Linked DNA regions of Drosophila melanogaster. The gene in region 1 interacts genetically with each later gene. Each region holds a gene or a part of one and is shown on either strand. Other genes may lie near its edges. The genes, in order: Vsp37A and r.

Region 1 (8,745 bases):
CTTACTCTCGTAAAAAAAACTGCAACACGCCAACAAAACGAAAGGCCAACTTCACACGCACACCAATACGTTGCTCAAACAATACCCGCACACTTTTACACGTACACGTACATACTGAGCGAATAACTTTGTTGCTCATTGCTAATTTGTCATAAACATTAAATGCAGCACATACTACGGTGGGAAACAGTAAACAAAAATAAAGGTAAAGTTCTCAAAACGAGGTGAGCCACGCACGACACCAAATAAGCGAACAACTGGCGACAAAGCGACGCGCGTTTCGGTTTTTCTGCTGATTCCCGACAACAACAAGTGTCTAATCGACGGGGCCTATCGATATACCCGATAATACTCAACGCCGGGGCGCTCCAGGCACGGCGCATGCGTGACACGATGTCCAACACTGGTTGAGCGCGAAGAACTGGTATTTTCAAATAGTTGGACTTATTATTGGTAATTCTATGATAGTAATAAACACAGCACTTCTGTCCAAGGCCACAATTGCTAGGGGAACAAGAACTTTTATGTAATTGTATGTAAATACTAAAAGTATCCTAATAATGACTGATTTAGTTCATCGAAGTCTGGGTAAGCCAAATTTTCTCCAGTTCACTGAAATAAACCCAGAGGGCTTTGGTCAAAGACATAAATATTTCCATACCCTACTATCTTCTCTTGCCATCTTTCTGTTTCCCTTAAAACTACACTTATTGCCATTATCAGGACTGTATGATGATGTCGACGAATTTAACATGACACTACAAAATTCCATCAGTATCGCCCAGTTGAATTTGTCCTCTTCTGAGCTTTTCCTATGCTGCCTCTTCTCCAGCGTGGGCCTTATCAAAGCCAGCAGGGCAGCAACACTGCTAAAGAAACCGCAAGAAGCAGCAAAGCGTGTCTGCCGTTCGTAGGAGAAGAGGTTCGGTTCACTCGCGACTTTCAGCATTTCTGCTAGTTCCACGTTTCTTCGCTCTTTCCCCACCGCATTTCTCTTTTATGATTCGTACTGCTTGCAAGCTACGTACGTTAGAGGTCTATGACCAAAGGCCAGGCCGAAACAGAGCTTACCGCCCGTCCCCCAAAATATTAAGGAAAATGATAACGAATAAGAGAGGCACAAATTTTTTTCAGTTGGGTTACGTGAGAGGGGTTCAAAGCCCCCGGCCATTCACTGGCGTCTAAAAGGCAAAAGATCTGTGAGATTTAGTTTTGTTCGGTGGGTTCCAAACATTTTTTAGGTAAATTTGGTGTAGTTCTAACGCACAGCAGTTAGAAAATAGAAAAGATTTTTGTGATACCCGCGATTATAAACGTTCCGCTTTGGCGCACCAAAGAAATGTGCGCTACGCTCCAAGCAGTTGGCTATATCGGTGCTCTTCCCACACTCAAGAAATTAGGGAGATCAGGTGACAGATGACAGATCTTTTCAGCAGAGATATCAATTTACGAGGTGACCATTCCTCCTAACTGCATCCCCAGAACGCCAGGCAGTTGAATGCCCATGAAAAGGAAAGTTAAAGGATCAACTGGTCATGTGCCGCTTGCGTCCAAGGTGGAAAATCTTAGAGGGCAAGGTATAGCGATTTGAAGCCGTTACAGCGGACTGCGCAGTCGCGGCGCACTGCCCGTTTACCGTTACCACTCGACGCGGCTCCTTTTTGATATTTATGTTTCTCTTCGTGTTTATCGACCTTTGTTCGTTTAGATTGTCTTACGTACATTGTGTGTTGTTGTTCGAGCGGCGGACACAATAAATTATTTTTAGAAAATAGTTTCGTTTTCGCTAATATATACATTTATGCGTGGCTCGGAGTTTTAAAGTTGCTTTGTTGATGGTTTACGTTTTGCTGCGCTGCTTGCGTTTTTGTTGCTAGTGCAGAAGCAGAAAGTGGAAGTTTTAAAATTTCACTTTCCCGAAATTTATATAATGCTCTTTGATGGTTTTCGTATCAAAACCGCCAGAAGCAACAACGATCTGCTTTACATTTCTTTGCGTTTTTGTTTCATTATTTTACTCACCCTGTTTCCCGCGGCGAATGTAGAAAACGAAGAAGTGATATGGCGAGGAGAGGAGGCAGAGGCAATCTAATTCAAACGGTACTCTTCCTAGATTCGCCCCTTTTCTTTTGACTGTATTTTCTGCAGGGCGGAATGCGCCGTTTTTGCTTGCACTACTATTTGTACGCACTTGCACCTTTGACTTTTCGTTGTTTCTGGACACCGAAAAAACAAAAACTAAATGTAAAAACAAAATAGATCGGGCCTTTGGCTACCGCTACACACACACACGGAACACACTCGAAAAAACAGCTGGCGCGTTAATTACATTAAAAATTCGCAAGGAAGCCTTCGAACAATGGCAGAAATGCAACTAATTAGCAATTATTTGCAGATTTTTTTTTGTTTTCTTTACGCCTCTTCTTTGCACAAATTCCAATTAGACGATGCGGCGGCAGCCATCTGCAAATGCAATTTGTTGTTGAGTCCCGTTATTTCGCAGACAGAGCAAGTGCAGTTATAGGCGAAACTGGGGGAGCGGACGAGCGAAAGAAATAGCCAATGACCTCCCCTTGATGACGGGCTATTAATATTCATTTACATGTCTCTTCTTGTTTTGTTATGTGCGCAATGGAACAGATGACTCCGCATAGGAGGATGCTGCTTGCTGCTCTTCGATTTGTTGCTTTATTAATAGAAGTCACCGAATGCCAATCTCCGATTGGAATCACAGCCGCTCGCGGGGACACCGATTACCGGAGTTGTTACTTGGTTAGTTAGCCAGCGCCAATAGCCGTGATTAATCCCGTTGCAGCCTGCCAATATGTTACGCTTTTGCTTTTGTTATTGTGTTCGCTTGTTATCGCTTAACGATACGATTTGTCCGCGGTCAACGTCGCGTCGCTGCTTATTGTTGTTGCGTTTTGTTATTGTTGTTATTGCTGGCGATGGGAGATCTTCGATTAGTTTAACTTTTGCAGTAGTGTGGCTGTCGCTTGAGTGTCTGCAAATACCACAGCGACGCACACCAAAGACTAAATGTTTGAAAACATTTTAATTTCTTACGAAATTTAAAAGTAGAACTCTACAAGAAATTTAAAAGCGTTCTTCTATTTTATCAATCGGTATGTGCTGGTGGGAACTACAGCTACTCCTTGAACCCCTCCACCTCGCTGGCTTCGAAGGGCACCTCCTCTACCTTGTGGAATCCGGAGAACTTGATGATTTTGCCGTTGCCTTCCACCTTCAGGTGCTTGGCGAACTATTGGGCCGGTGAAAGGGCCAGCTCCTCCTCCGTCTTGTAGCCGTAGTACTTGGCCCAGTCGTTGTAGAACTTTACAAGAAATTTAATAGTGTCTTTCTATCCCATTAACCGGTATCCGATGCGGAAGGACGCGAATCCATTTTGAATCCGCATCGGTTTCCCATTGACGCCACAACATAGTTAAGTCCTATTTGTAAGCTTTAATGGCAATAAACATACGATGGCTAAAAAAAAATAATGGTTCACTGAGCTGGTGGGAACTACAGTTACTCCTTGACCCGCTCCACCTCGCTGGCGTCGAAGGGCACCTCCTCCACCTTGTGGAATCCAGAGAACCTGATGATCTTGCCGGTCCCCTCGACCTTCAGGTGCTTGGCGAACTGTTGGGCCGGCGAAAGGGCCATCTCCTCCTCCGTCTTGTAGCCGTAGTACTTGGCCCAGTCGTTGCGTCCGGTGTAGACCATATAGCAAACGAGGCCGAATGCCTGCCAGGCCAGAACGGCGTACCCGATGCTCAGGCGCCGCTTCCACAGCTCCGCCCGGTGCTCCGGTATGGGATTCGTGTTGCGCCGCACCCAGCGGCGCAGCCACTTCATCTCGAACAGTGCCATTGTGTGCTTATGTGCTGCTATAACTAAGTTCGTTATGTAAAGATGCAAAATGTAAACAAGCGACTGCAGCTGGCAGCCAAAGTTGCCACACTGTTCAAATCCACCAAATGGTTCGAACCAAGGATGCAAGAAACTAATTATTTGAAAACAAAATAAAGTTAAGCTTATTTTACAAGCCAAAGCGAAGTCACTTCTAATATGTGTTTTGCAGATGCGATAATGCCCTGTGCCTCATTTCCACGTTTTTAATTCAGGAAAAGTGCACGTTAAAGCTAAATGAAAACCAAGACGTATGAGAATCATTATTGTAGCGAAATCTTTGGACGAAAGCGCGAGCGACTTGAATTCCCGCTGACCGCCTCAGACGGTAGCCGAATTTGGCGGCAAGCTAGCCAAGGTGGCAGCACTGAAATGGTCACAGAACGAAAATGCAACTTCGATCGGGGCATATAAAACCAGTGCTTCCAATCCGAAGGCAAAGCATAAAAGATCAGAACATCAGTAGCCGAAGATTGGCTGAGTAGCACGGACAGCGGGCAAGTCCTTTGAAACGTTGGTAGTTTGCAACCGGGTTTGCCAACTTCCTTTGGAGTTCAGTGGTGCTCAACTATCGACACAACTATCCTCGGCTTTCGCAAAACTCAGTAAACCGGTAAACTTCCGTTCATACAGTTCACAATTCTAAATTTAAAATAGATCTAACGCAGACACATTGACATTCGAAAATTGGGATTGAAAACTCAAGATGCCGACTACACCACAGGATCTTGCCCTTGCCCACTCTCTTGCTCAAAGACCTCCGACCGATAGCAGTGAGGCCAAGGAGCAGGAGGCCGGCGAATCGGACAACCTGCCCAACCTGTGCACTTTGTCGCTGGACGAACTGAAACAGCTGGACAGGGATCCCGAGTTCTTCGAGGACTTCATCGAGGAGATGTCCGTGGTGCAGTACCTGAACGAGGAGCTCGATTCAATGATGGACCAGGTGGAGATTATATCAAGTGAGTAGGTCACGGCCCGAGGCTGGCAAATCTACCTAACCCTTCTGTATTCCAATCCAGGAGAGAACGAGTGCAAGGGCATTCATCTGGTAGAGCTGAAGCGCCGACTCAGCGACGATTTTACAGCTTTAAAAAACCTAGGCGAGAAATGCGACCGGCTGAACAAGAAGTACTTCAAGAAGTCGGATGAATACGCGCCTCAGCATATCAGGGTGAGTTCCCTTAAAAAGCCAATGGCGTGGGAGTTACCATTCCCATCCGTAACTTGCATTCCATTTCCCCTGAAGGAGCTTCTTCAGATTGCAGCTTCCAATGCCGATGGCGACTGCGATCGTCACGTGGAGCACTTCCTGAACGGAAAGACCGACGTGCAGACTTTCCTCAACACGTACCAGTGGTCGAAGAAGATCAGTACCGAGCGCAAGGCCAAAGAGGAGCGCCTGGGCACCCAGCTCAGTGCTCTGGAGCGGGCCGGTATCTAGGATTGCCGTGACACTCCCTGGCCGTGCCATCCAGAGCACGGTCCTCCCACTCCTCGCACTCCTCCCACACCGCCACGATCCGCGTCGCAATAGTAGAGAATATCAATGTTAGTAAATAGAGAAGTTAAGCCAGAGATGGGGCGACATAATCATGGCACACACGGCCACGCATTCCCAGAACAGAAAGCAAAACCTTGTTGAAGTAATAAGAAGGTGCACTAGTTGTTCGTTTCCCAAGATCGTTTACTTGGGAAGAGGGTCTTGTTATTCTATCCGTACCCCGAAACGAAGCACTATGTGCAACAGAACGCAGTCCGGAATCGCATGTATTACCTATTTACTTTTTTTCCTTTTGGTTAATCGTGAGCCCCATCCATATATTCTCTCCATATATACATATATATTAAAAAAAAACTATGCTTTAAATGATGCCGTCTCTTTCTATTTAAGGGAAAGGTTTTTCAAAACAATGGTTTTTGGAATGATTTTTGTTTTGATTTGAATAAAATCGAACCGCAAAGGATAACACAACCTTATTAGTTTGAAATAATTTTATTATATTGAAGAATAATAATGCTTAATAACAGATATATAAAATTTCTTTTTTCAACAGTGGCTTGTGCTAGTATCTTAATTTAGTTTGCATAAGCTAAAAGCAATTAAACAAACATAACTACGTTTTCTCCATTATTATTCATATGTACATATATTACTAAGCATTCCAATTGTTAAAATCGAAAACAATCGAAAGTTTCGTTCTACATCATTCGTTCGAAATATGAATGATCCGGTTATCATGGTATTTTTTTGGTATTTTAGCTATATAGTTCGCCGATTTATCGGCCGTACCTCTTCCCCGATCTCGGCCAGAAGCGGACTGGGCCAGTTGGCTGATAGTGCTCGTTCGGCTGCCCCGCTGTCGCCCTTCCCCTCCTCCACCGAGGTCAAGTAATCTCGAGTGATAAGCGGCAGTGAACTCTCGTCTCTGCTTCTCCATTCCACAAGAAACTATAAATAACAGACTACCCACAAGAGACTAGTGCAATTGCAGCAATGGCCCAAACGGAAGTGCTGGTGTTCGGCTCGGCCATCATTGACTTTATAAGGTAGGTGGGCAGAGAAGGCTCGATCCCAAGGAGAATCTTACAAATACAACACCTTTTCCAGCTACACGACCCGTCTACCGAAAGCCGGAGAAACGCTCCATGGGCATCGCTTTCAGATTGGCTACGGCGGCAAGGGCGCCAATCAGTGTGTGGCTGCCGCGCGCCAGGGATCCCGAACAGCTCTGGTGGCCAAACTGGGGGCAGACACATTCGGCAGCGACTACCTGAGACATCTGCGCGAGGAGCGCGTCAATGTAAACCACGTCGAGCAGCTGGCGGAGGAAACGACGGGCGTGGCCCAGATAGCCGTGTCAGATGGCGGCGAGAACAACATCATCATTGTGGTGGGCGCCAACAATCGACTGAGCTCGTGTGACGTTTCCTCGGCGAAGGCGCTCTTCCAGGAAGCCAAAGTTCTGGTGTGCCAGCTGGAGACGCCCGTTGAGGCCACCCTGACCGCTCTGAGAGCCTTCCGGGGCGTGTCCATCGTCAATGCGGCTCCGGCCATGGCCGACACACCCCCCGAACTTCTTCAGTTGGCCAGCATCTTCTGTGTGAACGAAAGCGAGGCGGCACTGATGACTCAGATGCCCGACATTGGCAACATAGAGTAAGTGCGAGTAAGCGTAAACCAGTCGTACTGCCAACTAAATCGGGTCCCACTTCTGCCAGGCACGCCGAAGATGCGGTTGGAAAGCTGATAGCGGCAGGTGCCAACACGGTGATCATAACTCTGGGCAAACTAGGAGCCGTTTTCGGTTCCGCCGACTCCAAGGGCGTGTGCCAGCATGTGGCTGCGCCGAGTGTGCCGCCCGAAAAAGTGGTGGACACGACGGGGGCTGGAGACGCCTTCATTGGGGCCTTGGCCCACAACTTGGCCCGTCATCCAACGAGGAAACTGGAGGAGCACATAGCCGCCGCCTGTGCCGTGGCCTCGCAATCCGTTCAGCTACCCGGGACGCAGTCGAGCTTCCCACACGCTTAGAGGGAAATCCCCAAAAGAATGCAACGCAACAATAAATCTCTATCCTGACGTACAATGATCTATTTAATGGTAATCGTAAGTATAAAAAGATTATGGTCCACATGGGTGTGCTTCGGCTGGCAATTCAGCGTCCAGAATCCAGTGGGTTGCGGACTACAGATGGAGGCGTGGCAGCTTCACTTCTTTCCCGACTTCTTGATGCCGCCTCCTACGAGAGGACCCTTCTTTGAGGCGTTCGCCTTGGCCGCCTCCAGAGCCTTCTGCTGCTCCTTCTGCTTTTGCTTGAAGGCCATGTCGTCCTCGTCCAGGTCTTTGGAGTCCTTCTTCGGCGCCTTCAGAGGCTTCTTCTTACCGCCCTCGCGTCCAGACATACTTGCTCGCTTATACTGCGTGGGAGGAAAAATCTATGAAAATCGGGTTGGATTCCACAACAAAAAGTCACGCACCTTTTTCACACGTTTTTCCGATTTCCGCTGCACGATAACCACGAGAACAATCGATAGCTTCGCGCTTTCGATTGGCTGTGCGTGTTATCGGAACTGGACATATATTTCAATTAATTGATGAAATTATAAGAACAAATTTATATGAAATTATAATTATGTTGTTTCTAAAAATCGCTTCTCGAAGCGAACTTAAAGTCATCCTTAACAGCAATGTGTACCAGCCAAAATAAAAAAATGTCGATTTTGTCGATGGAATTTTAATGACTTTTCGGAAAAAAAAACATAGATAAGTTGAAAAATATTAAACCACTAACTATTCAACTAATTCAAAAGGAAGAGGAATTTACCATCGATTTCTTGAGCGACCTTTACAAAAGCGATGTATCGATGAAAAATCGATTGGACCAGCTCGTCGATAAAGTTGTTGTTTGCTCCAGGTTTACTTTTAATTTCAAATTCAACTAATATCCGGGATTAAGAGTGTAAATCCTGTCAGGAAAACCATGCTAAGGCCCCAGTCATCAGTGCCTGCGCCTCAGCCGCCTGGCAAGCGAAAGAAGCCCGCGGAACTGGAACTGACCTGCGGATGGCGCGACTGCCAGGAGATCTGCACTGGCGAGTGGAGCCTGAACGGGCATATTGGGGATCATCTGGAGCACTATGCGAAGGCCCAGGACGATCGGGGGGCGCATGCGGAGCACACGGAGCATCAATGCACATGGAACTCCTGCGATTTCCGCACCGAAAACCAGGTGGAGTTTGAACGGCATTCGTACTACCACGGCTACTACTTGAACCTGCTCCTGCAGGGGAAGCTGGAGTGCGATCTGCATCCGGAAATCCCCGCCT
Region 2 (9,667 bases), about 16 Mb from region 1:
AGTAACTCCGCTGGTTTATCCTCCTCAGGTTCCTCCACTGATTCCTCCTCGGGCGCCGCATCCATGGACTCCTCGATGGTGCGCGAGTGGTCCTCGATCTCTTCGTCGTCCAGATGCGGTGCTCCATTGGCGAACGAGGCGAAGCGCAAAGGATCACGCAGTTTGCCCATCACCGCCCACTGCTTGCACTCCGGACTGTTGACGTACTTGCGCAGGTCCGCCAGCGATTTCGAGGTCTCCACGGCCGTCTGCTGTTCGTACTCCTCCTGGGTGAGCATGCGCCTCTTTAGCGGAAAACGGCGGCGATACATGAACTTGATCTGGTTCGTCCACGAAATGGGGAAGTAGTGGGCCACAAAGACCAGCACCATGATGAAGATCACGGCGCTGGTGTGCCAGCTGCTGAAGTAAGCCATAACGGCGCCAATGGCCTGCAGCACCCACATGACGATGGTTTGCGATCGAGGATTCTTGGGCGGACCAATGCGATAGCAGATCTGTAGAATAATCGAGGCAATTAGCTGGGGTTATCTAATCAAAAGGGAATATCAAGTGACTACGCACCAGGAACGAGATCAGTCCGGTGATCACCAGATAGCCCAGCACATGGTCGCGGTAGGTGATCAGAATCAAACGCAGATTGTCCGCCAGCTGTTTGATCACATAGAAGCCAATGGTCCAGCCGCCAATTAGGACGCCATACATCATGGTACGTCGCGGAAAGAGTTTGGCGGCCAAATAGATGACCACCAGCAGGGAGGCGCATATGCCGATGACAATGCCGACCAGATAGTAGAACACACTGTTCTTTGCTAGCCGCCGGGCGCTGAAGAGGATCAGTATGCCGACGGCGAACTGTGCGAGACGCCACAGATCCAGCGGAATGCTATTCAGAATGACGGTGTACGCCTGGCGGGAGGAAATCCCGATGCACTGCTGCTCGAAGGGCGAGAGCTGCAGCAGCTGGCGCTTCTGCGCGAACAGGGTGATGCTGAACAGCGATTGCTTGTCCTTGTAGTGCTGCAACACCTCCTCCGGCGTCTTCCCACCGTACTGGGAATAATCATCGCTCCCGATGGCCAGGACGAACTCCACAGTCTCGAAGAGACTTGACACCGTCAGCCGTTTACCCGGATAGCAGAACGTGCGCAGAGTCTGCAGTCCCAAGATGTTCTCCGACAAATTGATGTATGTGCCCGGCGTCAGGTAGGCGACGTCCGAGGAAGCCGTATTGCCAGGAATACCCGATGTGAAATATCCAGCCACGGTTAGCATCAGTAGTCCAGCCGAATGCATTATGAACGGTTGCAATGGCGTTAATCTTATCAATCAGTGCGCTTTCAGTCTGTTGCTCTCGCAGGACGTTCGCTTGTTAAATGCTGACTTGCTTATGCTTGATGTTTTGATGTTTACTTTACTTTAAGGAATCGAATGAAAAAGCAACGCCGCTTTGGTTTATGTCCTCACTCACGACGGGACGGGCAGTATATCGTAACGTAAGAAAAATGTATCGATAGGTGTGTGTGTGACTACACTGTTGTGATTTCAAATTTGTGACTAACCATTTAATTGTGGATTATTTATTTCCTTTGGAATACTTTGCAGAACACCCCATTTAAACATGTTTGCTAATATTATTACAAATATCTTATCTTATTCATAACAATAAATGAATATATAACGTTCTTGCCAAGTTCCCAACCTGCAATATTACTTCTAGTAAAGTTCCACACCGCCGAGCTAAGCTCTTGCTGTGGCATTTTTTAGCACATAATGCACGAAGATTCCGATTCAACCAAGGCGGTGAATTCAGTTGTTCGACTTTGATTTTCCAGACGTTAATTGGAGCCAATTTGCAAGCAAACACAGTTAAATGCTCAAACTAAACATATCCGAGCAGTGCGAAGTTAACCAGCTCTAAAAGCGGTGTCGCAAAGTAAACAAATCAAGTTGTCAATCGAATTAAAGTCGAAACCAAAACGTGTTCACAACTACAAGTGCAGCAAAGAGAGAGCTTCGCTTGAAAGTACACGGAATCGTAAGTGAGCTGTAGTTGTAACGGGTGCAGATGGGAAAAGGATAACTTGATGGCGATACTAATGCATCGTAGCTTAAGGATTCTCAGTTGGTTAATCCTCAATTCCTGCCCAAAGTCCAATTCAAAGTTAAAGTCAATGTTATTGTTATTCTCATTTGCTGACCGAACCGGTTTCCAATTGGATCCAAACTTCTCACACGTGCTTACGCACACACAAAACGCACCCTCTCACACTCGCTCTTCCTCTTTCTTCTCCGCCGCTAGTCATCGTGTAAACAAACCGTGAATGGCAATATCAAATGACAACAGGAACTTGAAACGCTTGATAAGCAGTGTCCATTCCCAATCAGAACCGTGTTGTGCCCCGCTCAACATGTTGCCAGACAGTTAAATACATGCATACATTCATCTATCGCGGCTTCCTATTGGATTCTTTGTATATTTTCTTGGGCCGGCAAACTGTGTGCGTGTGACGGTGTGTTTATAAACACATGTGTTTTTTGAACAAGATAACCTGTGGAATTATATTACATTACATTTAAAATCGAGGGTATGCACGCGCTCTGCGTAAACATATAGCATAGTCATAGCATATACTCATTAAGTAAAGTTCCCAGAGTCGCCGAATATTGTTATCAGATTTTCGACTCAATATTGTGTCTACTTGCCTTCGTAGAGATATGATCTTTTAATTAATTAACTTTGCTCGTTTATTTAAGACGGTTTTCGAGTGACAGGTACTAAAGAATACCCTATGGTTTCCAATCCTCCCCAGCAACTCGTCCAATATGGCCTCTACGGACTGTTACCTCGCACTGGAGGATGGCACAGTGTTGCCCGGGTACTCCTTTGGCTACGTTCCCTCGGAGAATGAATCCAAAGTGGGTTTTGGTGGCGAGGTGGTCTTCCAAACGGGCATGGTTGGCTACACGGAGGCGCTCACGGATCGATCGTACAGTGGTCAGATCCTGGTGCTTACCTATCCACTGATCGGTAACTATGGGGTACCAGCGCCGGATGAGGACGAGCACGGACTGCCGCTGCACTTCGAGTGGATGAAAGGCGTCGTCCAGGCCACCGCCTTGGTGGTGGGCGAGGTGGCTGAAGAGGCATTTCACTGGCGCAAATGGAAGACGCTGCCCGATTGGCTGAAGCAGCACAAGGTGCCCGGAATTCAAGACATTGATACTCGAGCCCTGACCAAAAAACTGAGGGAGCAGGGAAGCATGCTAGGCAAGATTGTCTACGAGAAACCGCCGGTCGAAGGGCTGCCCAAGTCCAGTTTCGTAGATCCGAACGTCAGGAATTTGGCCAAGGAGTGCAGCGTTAAGGAGCGACAAGTGTACGGTAATCCCAATGGCAAGGGACCACGGATCGCCATTCTGGACTGTGGACTGAAGCTCAACCAGTTGCGCTGCCTGCTGCAACGTGGCGCCTCGGTGACCTTGCTCCCCTGGAGCGCTCGTCTCGAGGATGAGCAGTTCGACGCCCTCTTTCTGTCTAACGGACCTGGTAATCCGGAGAGCTGCGACCAGATCGTCCAACAGGTGGGTCACAATTGAATCATTTGGATAGAATATAATGCTAATTTAACTAATCTTTTGTTTCTAGGTGAGAAAAGTGATTGAGGAGGGTCAAAAGCCCGTCTTTGGAATATGTCTGGGTCACCAGCTGTTAGCGAAGGCAATCGGCTGCTCTACTTACAAAATGAAGTACGGCAATCGAGGACACAATCTGCCCTGCCTGCACCGAGCAACTGGACGTTGCCTGATGACGTCGCAGAATCACGGATACGCGGTCGATTTGGAGCAGTTGCCCGACGGCTGGTCGGAGCTATTTGTGAATGCCAACGACGGCACCAACGAGGGCATTGTCCATGCCAGCAAGCCCTACTTTTCGGTTCAGTTCCATCCGGAGCATCATGCTGGACCGCAGGACACGGAGTTCCTGTTCGATGTCTTTATGGAGAGCATTCAACAGAAGGATTTGACCATTCCGCAGCTGATCGAGCAGCGACTGCGTCCGACTACGCCTGCCATAGATTCGGCTCCAGTGATGCCGCGCAAAGTCCTAATCCTGGGATCCGGTGGACTGTCCATTGGTCAGGCTGGCGAGTTTGACTACTCCGGATCGCAGGCCATCAAGGCCATGAGGGAATCAAACATTCAAACAGTGCTCATCAATCCGAACATAGCCACCGTTCAGACCTCTAAGGGAATGGCCGACAAGTGCTACTTCCTTCCCCTAACACCTCACTATGTTGAGCAGGTGATTAAGTCGGAGCGTCCGAACGGAGTACTGCTCACCTTTGGCGGCCAGACCGCTCTCAATTGTGGCGTGCAACTGGAGCGAGCCGGAGTTTTCTCCAAATACAATGTCCGCATTTTGGGCACACCCATCCAGTCGATCATCGAGACGGAGGATCGCAAGCTCTTTGCCGAGCGGGTCAACGAGATTGGCGAGCAGGTGGCGCCATCTGAGGCTGTGTACTCCGTTGCCCAGGCACTGGATGCGGCCAGTCGCTTGGGTTATCCGGTGATGGCCCGTGCTGCCTTCTCCCTGGGCGGACTGGGTTCCGGGTTCGCCAACAACGAGGAGGAGCTGCAGAGCCTGGCCCAACAGGCACTGGCCCACTCGAGCCAACTAATTGTGGACAAATCCCTGAAGGGTTGGAAGGAGGTGGAGTACGAGGTGGTGCGCGATGCCTACAACAACTGCATTACCGTATGCAACATGGAGAACTTCGATCCCCTGGGCATCCACACGGGCGAGAGTATTGTGGTGGCCCCATCGCAGACCCTCTCGGATCGCGAGTACCAAATGCTCCGCAGCACCGCCCTGAAGGTTATCCGTCACTTTGGTGTCGTTGGCGAGTGCAACATTCAGTACGCCTTGTGTCCCCATTCGGAGCAGTACTACATTATCGAGGTGAACGCCCGACTGTCGCGCAGCTCCGCGTTGGCCAGCAAGGCCACCGGCTATCCACTGGCCTATGTGGCCGCCAAGTTGGCTTTGGGATTGCCCCTGCCAGATATCAAGAACTCGGTGACGGGCAATACGACGGCCTGCTTTGAGCCATCCCTCGATTACTGTGTGGTCAAGATTCCACGCTGGGATTTGGCCAAATTCGTGCGGGTTAGCAAGCACATTGGCAGCTCGATGAAAAGTGTCGGTGAGGTGATGGCCATCGGTCGCAACTTCGAGGAAGCGTTCCAAAAAGCCCTGCGCATGGTGGACAGCGATGTGCTTGGCTTTGATCCGGATGTGGTTCCGCTTAACAAGGAGCAGCTGGCCGAGCAGCTTTCGGAGCCGACGGATCGTCGTCCCTTCGTCATTGCCGCTGCTTTGCAATTGGGCATGAGCCTTAGGGAGCTGCATCAACTAACCAATATCGATTATTGGTTTCTGGAAAAGCTGGAAAGGATCATCTTACTGCAGTCCCTGCTCACCCGTAATGGCAGTCGAACCGATGCCGCTCTGCTGTTGAAGGCCAAGCGTTTTGGTTTTTCGGACAAGCAGATAGCTAAGTACATTAAGAGCACGGAGCTGGCTGTTCGTCACCAGCGGCAGGAGTTTGGCATCCGCCCGCATGTCAAGCAGATCGACACGGTGGCCGGCGAATGGCCCGCCAGTACCAACTATCTGTACCACACATATAACGGAAGCGAGCACGATGTGGACTTCCCCGGCGGACACACTATTGTGGTGGGCTCGGGCGTCTATCGTATCGGATCCTCAGTGGAGTTTGATTGGTGTGCCGTGGGCTGCCTGCGCGAATTGAGGAAGCTACAGCGACCCACCATCATGATTAACTACAATCCTGAAACGGTTTCCACCGACTACGATATGTGCGATCGCTTGTATTTCGAGGAGATTAGCTTCGAGGTGGTCATGGACATCTACGAGATGGAGAATAGCGAGGGCATCATTCTGTCCATGGGCGGCCAGCTGCCCAACAATATAGCCATGGATCTGCATCGCCAGCAGGCGAAGGTGTTGGGCACATCGCCGGAGTCCATCGACTGTGCCGAAAATCGATTTAAATTCTCGCGCATGCTGGACAGGAAGGGTATCTTGCAGCCACGCTGGAAGGAGCTGACCAACCTACAGTCGGCCATCGAATTTTGCGAGGAGGTTGGCTATCCCTGTCTGGTTAGGCCATCCTATGTGCTCTCCGGTGCGGCCATGAATGTGGCCTATTCCAATCAGGATCTGGAGACATATCTGAACGCCGCCTCCGAGGTGAGTCGCGAGCATCCGGTTGTCATTTCGAAGTTCCTCACCGAGGCCAAGGAGATCGATGTGGATGCAGTGGCATCCGATGGACGCATCCTGTGCATGGCTGTTTCGGAGCACGTGGAGAATGCCGGAGTGCATTCAGGTGATGCCACGCTGGTTACCCCACCGCAGGATCTGAATGCGGAGACCCTGGAGGCCATTAAACGGATCACATGCGATTTGGCCAGCGTACTGGATGTCACCGGTCCCTTCAACATGCAGCTAATTGCCAAGAACAACGAGCTGAAGGTCATCGAATGCAATGTCCGTGTGTCGCGATCCTTCCCCTTCGTCTCCAAGACGCTGGACCACGACTTTGTGGCCACGGCGACGCGTGCGATTGTGGGACTCGATGTGGAGCCACTGGATGTGCTCCATGGCGTCGGCAAGGTGGGCGTCAAGGTGCCACAGTTCAGTTTCTCGCGGCTCGCGGGCGCGGATGTACAGCTGGGCGTCGAGATGGCCTCCACCGGTGAGGTTGCCTGCTTCGGGGACAACCGCTATGAGGCGTATCTCAAGGCCATGATGTCCACGGGCTTCCAGATACCCAAGAACGCCGTACTTCTCTCCATTGGCAGTTTCAAGGTTTGTTGGCCACTCCATTGATTATTGATATTAGTTACTCCATTAATAACTCCATTCATCTGCAGCACAAGATGGAGCTGCTGCCTTCCATACGGGATCTGGCCAAGATGGGTTACAAGCTATACGCTTCCATGGGCACTGGCGACTTTTATGCCGAACACGGAGTTAATGTGAGTATATTTATGTCTGTGTGCTTATTGTATATCATGCAACTTTAATCAAAATCCATTGGAGATGCGAGTCAACAAAGTTGAGTAGTTTCAATACTCATTTCCTACTATTTGTTTTCCCTGACTTGGTTTACAAATTGAACGGTTGTTTATATTGCATTATTTATTTTCCATGACATTGGTTTACAAATTCAATAACATTATTATCATAGAGAAATTACGTTGATTTCAAGATTACTAATTACGAAAATATATATGGCGCACATGGTATGGACAATAATTATGGCCCATAACTATATATATATTTCTATCTCTATCTCTAACCGCCCTTATCACAACTGGTTTATCTGTTATCAATATATCAATATATCACTAATCGCCGGGATTTAGCAATTTGGCTACTATATGGTAGTATTATCTTTAGTGTCTCTAGTTGAATGCGCCCTTGAGCTTCTGTGCGTTGCGCTTGAGGATCTCCTTGAGTTCATCCCGCTTGGCCTCGGATGGGGCTACTCTTTGGACCAGTTGCTCCGTTTTGCTGCCCAGCATTTGCACCTTATCCGTGTCGAGGGAGAGCCTTTGAAGGATTCCGTTTAGCGAGAGAAATGATTCCTCCTTGGCTGTTTCCTCCGATTTTGATTTGATTCCCGTTTGCGGCTTAAGGCTATCCACTTCAGGAGAATCTATTGGTTCTCTATCTCTTTGGACATTGGGTTTTTCTTCTATGCGACTTTCTATTTCCCGAAGCAACGCGCTCTTGATCTCCTCCTCCTGTAGGGGTTCAATGGCGTTCGCATCCTCTTGGTGGTGAGCTCTTAGAATCCCATTGAGCTGATGGTTTTCCAGATGGGGCATATGCTTCTGCATGGCCAGCGGTTCTGGAGTGTGTATCTGCACGACATGCTCCTGGAACTTGATGGATTTCCTTGGCGCTGGCGGAGATTCAACCACCGTGGAGGGACTGCCGCCCGATGACGTTGGTATATGCGATTCACACATGCGTTCCATATCGCTGGCTGCGTTCTGTAGTTCCTGGACGAAGTGCTGTGCCTGCTGCGAGCAACCGAGGTGCTGATAAAGGCGGCACAATCTTTGCCCATGCTCCAGATAAAGCTGTGCATGTCCACGGTTGCCAAACCGAATGGCACGAGCCAACATGGCCAGCGAATGATCCAGCAGAAGTTCGATCAGATTGCTCCTTCGCAGGATCTCCAAGCCGTTGTTCAGTTGCGGTTTCGCTGCTTCCTGGCTCTTGGAACTTTCCGGATTGGAGCGTGCCAATAGCAATTGGCGATCCAGGGAGTCGAGCGAGCAACGTCTTTGTTCCGTCGCCGAGATTTGAAATTGCTGAGTCGTGGCCCTTAAGAGCTGTGTCTTCCTGCGCAGCTTTCCTCTCGAGCGCTCCTGGTGCTGAGCCAATCCCAAGAGTCCCTTGGCATCGGTGATCTCCGTCCTTTCGGTTTTTTTTTTCGTTTCCACCTGCTGCCCGCCATTGTTTTCTTCACAGTTCTGCAGAGCGGGAAATCCCTGACGTGGACGCGAGAACTTGCCCCGTCCGTGCAGCTCCAGGTAATCCTGGCTAAAGAGATTCTCCAACAGTCGCTTGTACTCCAGTTGCGGGTAGAATTCCGGCGCGTGCTGAAGATTCCTCAGTGCCTGGATGACATGCAGCAGCGGTTGTTCCGCAATTCCGGCCATTATGCTGCGCAGCTTCATCAGCGTATCCTCTGGGATATGCTCGAATAGATTGCGCCGCTCAATGAAGTAGTCGCTCAGGTGTTTCTTGGCCAAACAGGCGTCGAAGGAGCGAATGAATCGAACCAATCGCTCGCCCAGAAACTCCTCTGGCCAATCATTGCTGTGCTGCTCACATTGCCAAAACATATGGGCTCTCAGCTGTTCGAGCAAAGCTCCCGGGGATTGGTCACAGGATGTGGTTGATTCGTCCACAAAGGTTTTGACCAGCAGCTTCATTAGTTGGAACACCTTCAATTGCATGGGCGTCAGGCAGTGCCGCTCGAGAAACTGTTCCGCCTGGGGAAAGACAATGCGCCATTCCAGTTCCCTGAAGGGATTTCGCGAACGCTTTGGTGCATAGCCCACTGGTACAACATGGAAGCCCATGGATCGAATACGTTTTTTCATCTGCTCCGTTGGCCATTGGAATTGTTCGGCAGTATGGAGGTTGGTCAAACGAGGACGAGCCCTCAGCCAAAACTCGAAGGCGCAATCCGGCCAGGAATTGGGCACATGAATGGCGGGCACCAGCTCCTCGCGAGCGGTATATACACTACAGCCGCGATACGAACACGCGGCCAGCTGCGATTGGCTGATGCCCAATTGGTTAGCCAAATGATGACGCAGCACCTCTCCAAAGTACAACATGAACTGCTGCGAACTGAGGTAGCACTGCTGCAGTTGCTCCACATGACACTGGCGAAGCACCTCCACCGTTTCATAGCCAGCCGGTGGATATTTGCGATTATCGGAATTCGCCTCATCCTTCTCGTCCTCGTCACTGCTGGAGGCGGCGGAGGATGACTCCTCGTCGTCGGTTTGCTCTAGCCAAGGAGGCAGACAATTGGCCAAACGGCGA

Evidence for each region.
Region 2: of Vsp37A (region 1) and r, changing one suppresses a phenotype caused by changing the other (phenotypic suppression), as found in Drosophila melanogaster (one study listed by BioGRID).

The regions. Positions count from the first base shown.
Region 1 is NC_004354.4:617,270-626,014, forward strand, and holds Vsp37A (vacuolar protein sorting 37A), read left to right. Parts: upstream 1-4,260; 5' UTR 4,261-4,528; intron 4,529-4,536; exon of another isoform or gene 4,537-4,583; 5' UTR 4,584-4,621; coding exon 4,622-4,877; intron 4,878-4,937; coding exon 4,938-5,089; intron 5,090-5,164; coding exon 5,165-5,359; 3' UTR 5,360-5,782; downstream 5,783-8,745. Other genes in the region: CG13365 (uncharacterized protein), read right to left, coding at 3,532-3,876; CG13369 (uncharacterized protein), read left to right, coding at 6,413-6,465, 6,527-7,075, 7,138-7,450; CG13364 (uncharacterized protein), read right to left, coding at 7,627-7,821; Hinfp (histone H4 transcription factor), read left to right, coding at 8,400-8,745.
Region 2 is NC_004354.4:16,653,572-16,663,238, forward strand, and holds the start of r (rudimentary), read left to right. Parts: upstream 1-1,787; 5' UTR 1,788-2,038; intron 2,039-2,519; exon of another isoform or gene 2,520-2,588; intron 2,589-2,813; 5' UTR 2,814-2,826; coding exon 2,827-3,585; intron 3,586-3,649; coding exon 3,650-6,901; intron 6,902-6,966; coding exon 6,967-7,071; intron 7,072-7,326; exon of another isoform or gene 7,327-7,500; coding exon of another isoform or gene 7,501-9,667. Other genes in the region: Nemp (nuclear envelope integral membrane protein), read right to left, coding at 1-497, 565-1,296; CG15865 (uncharacterized protein), read right to left, coding at 7,501-9,667. UniProt on the Drosophila melanogaster protein: Multifunctional protein that encodes the first 3 enzymatic activities of the de novo pyrimidine pathway: carbamoylphosphate synthetase (CPSase; EC 6.3.5.5), aspartate transcarbamylase (ATCase; EC 2.1.3.2) and dihydroorotase (DHOase; EC 3.5.2.3).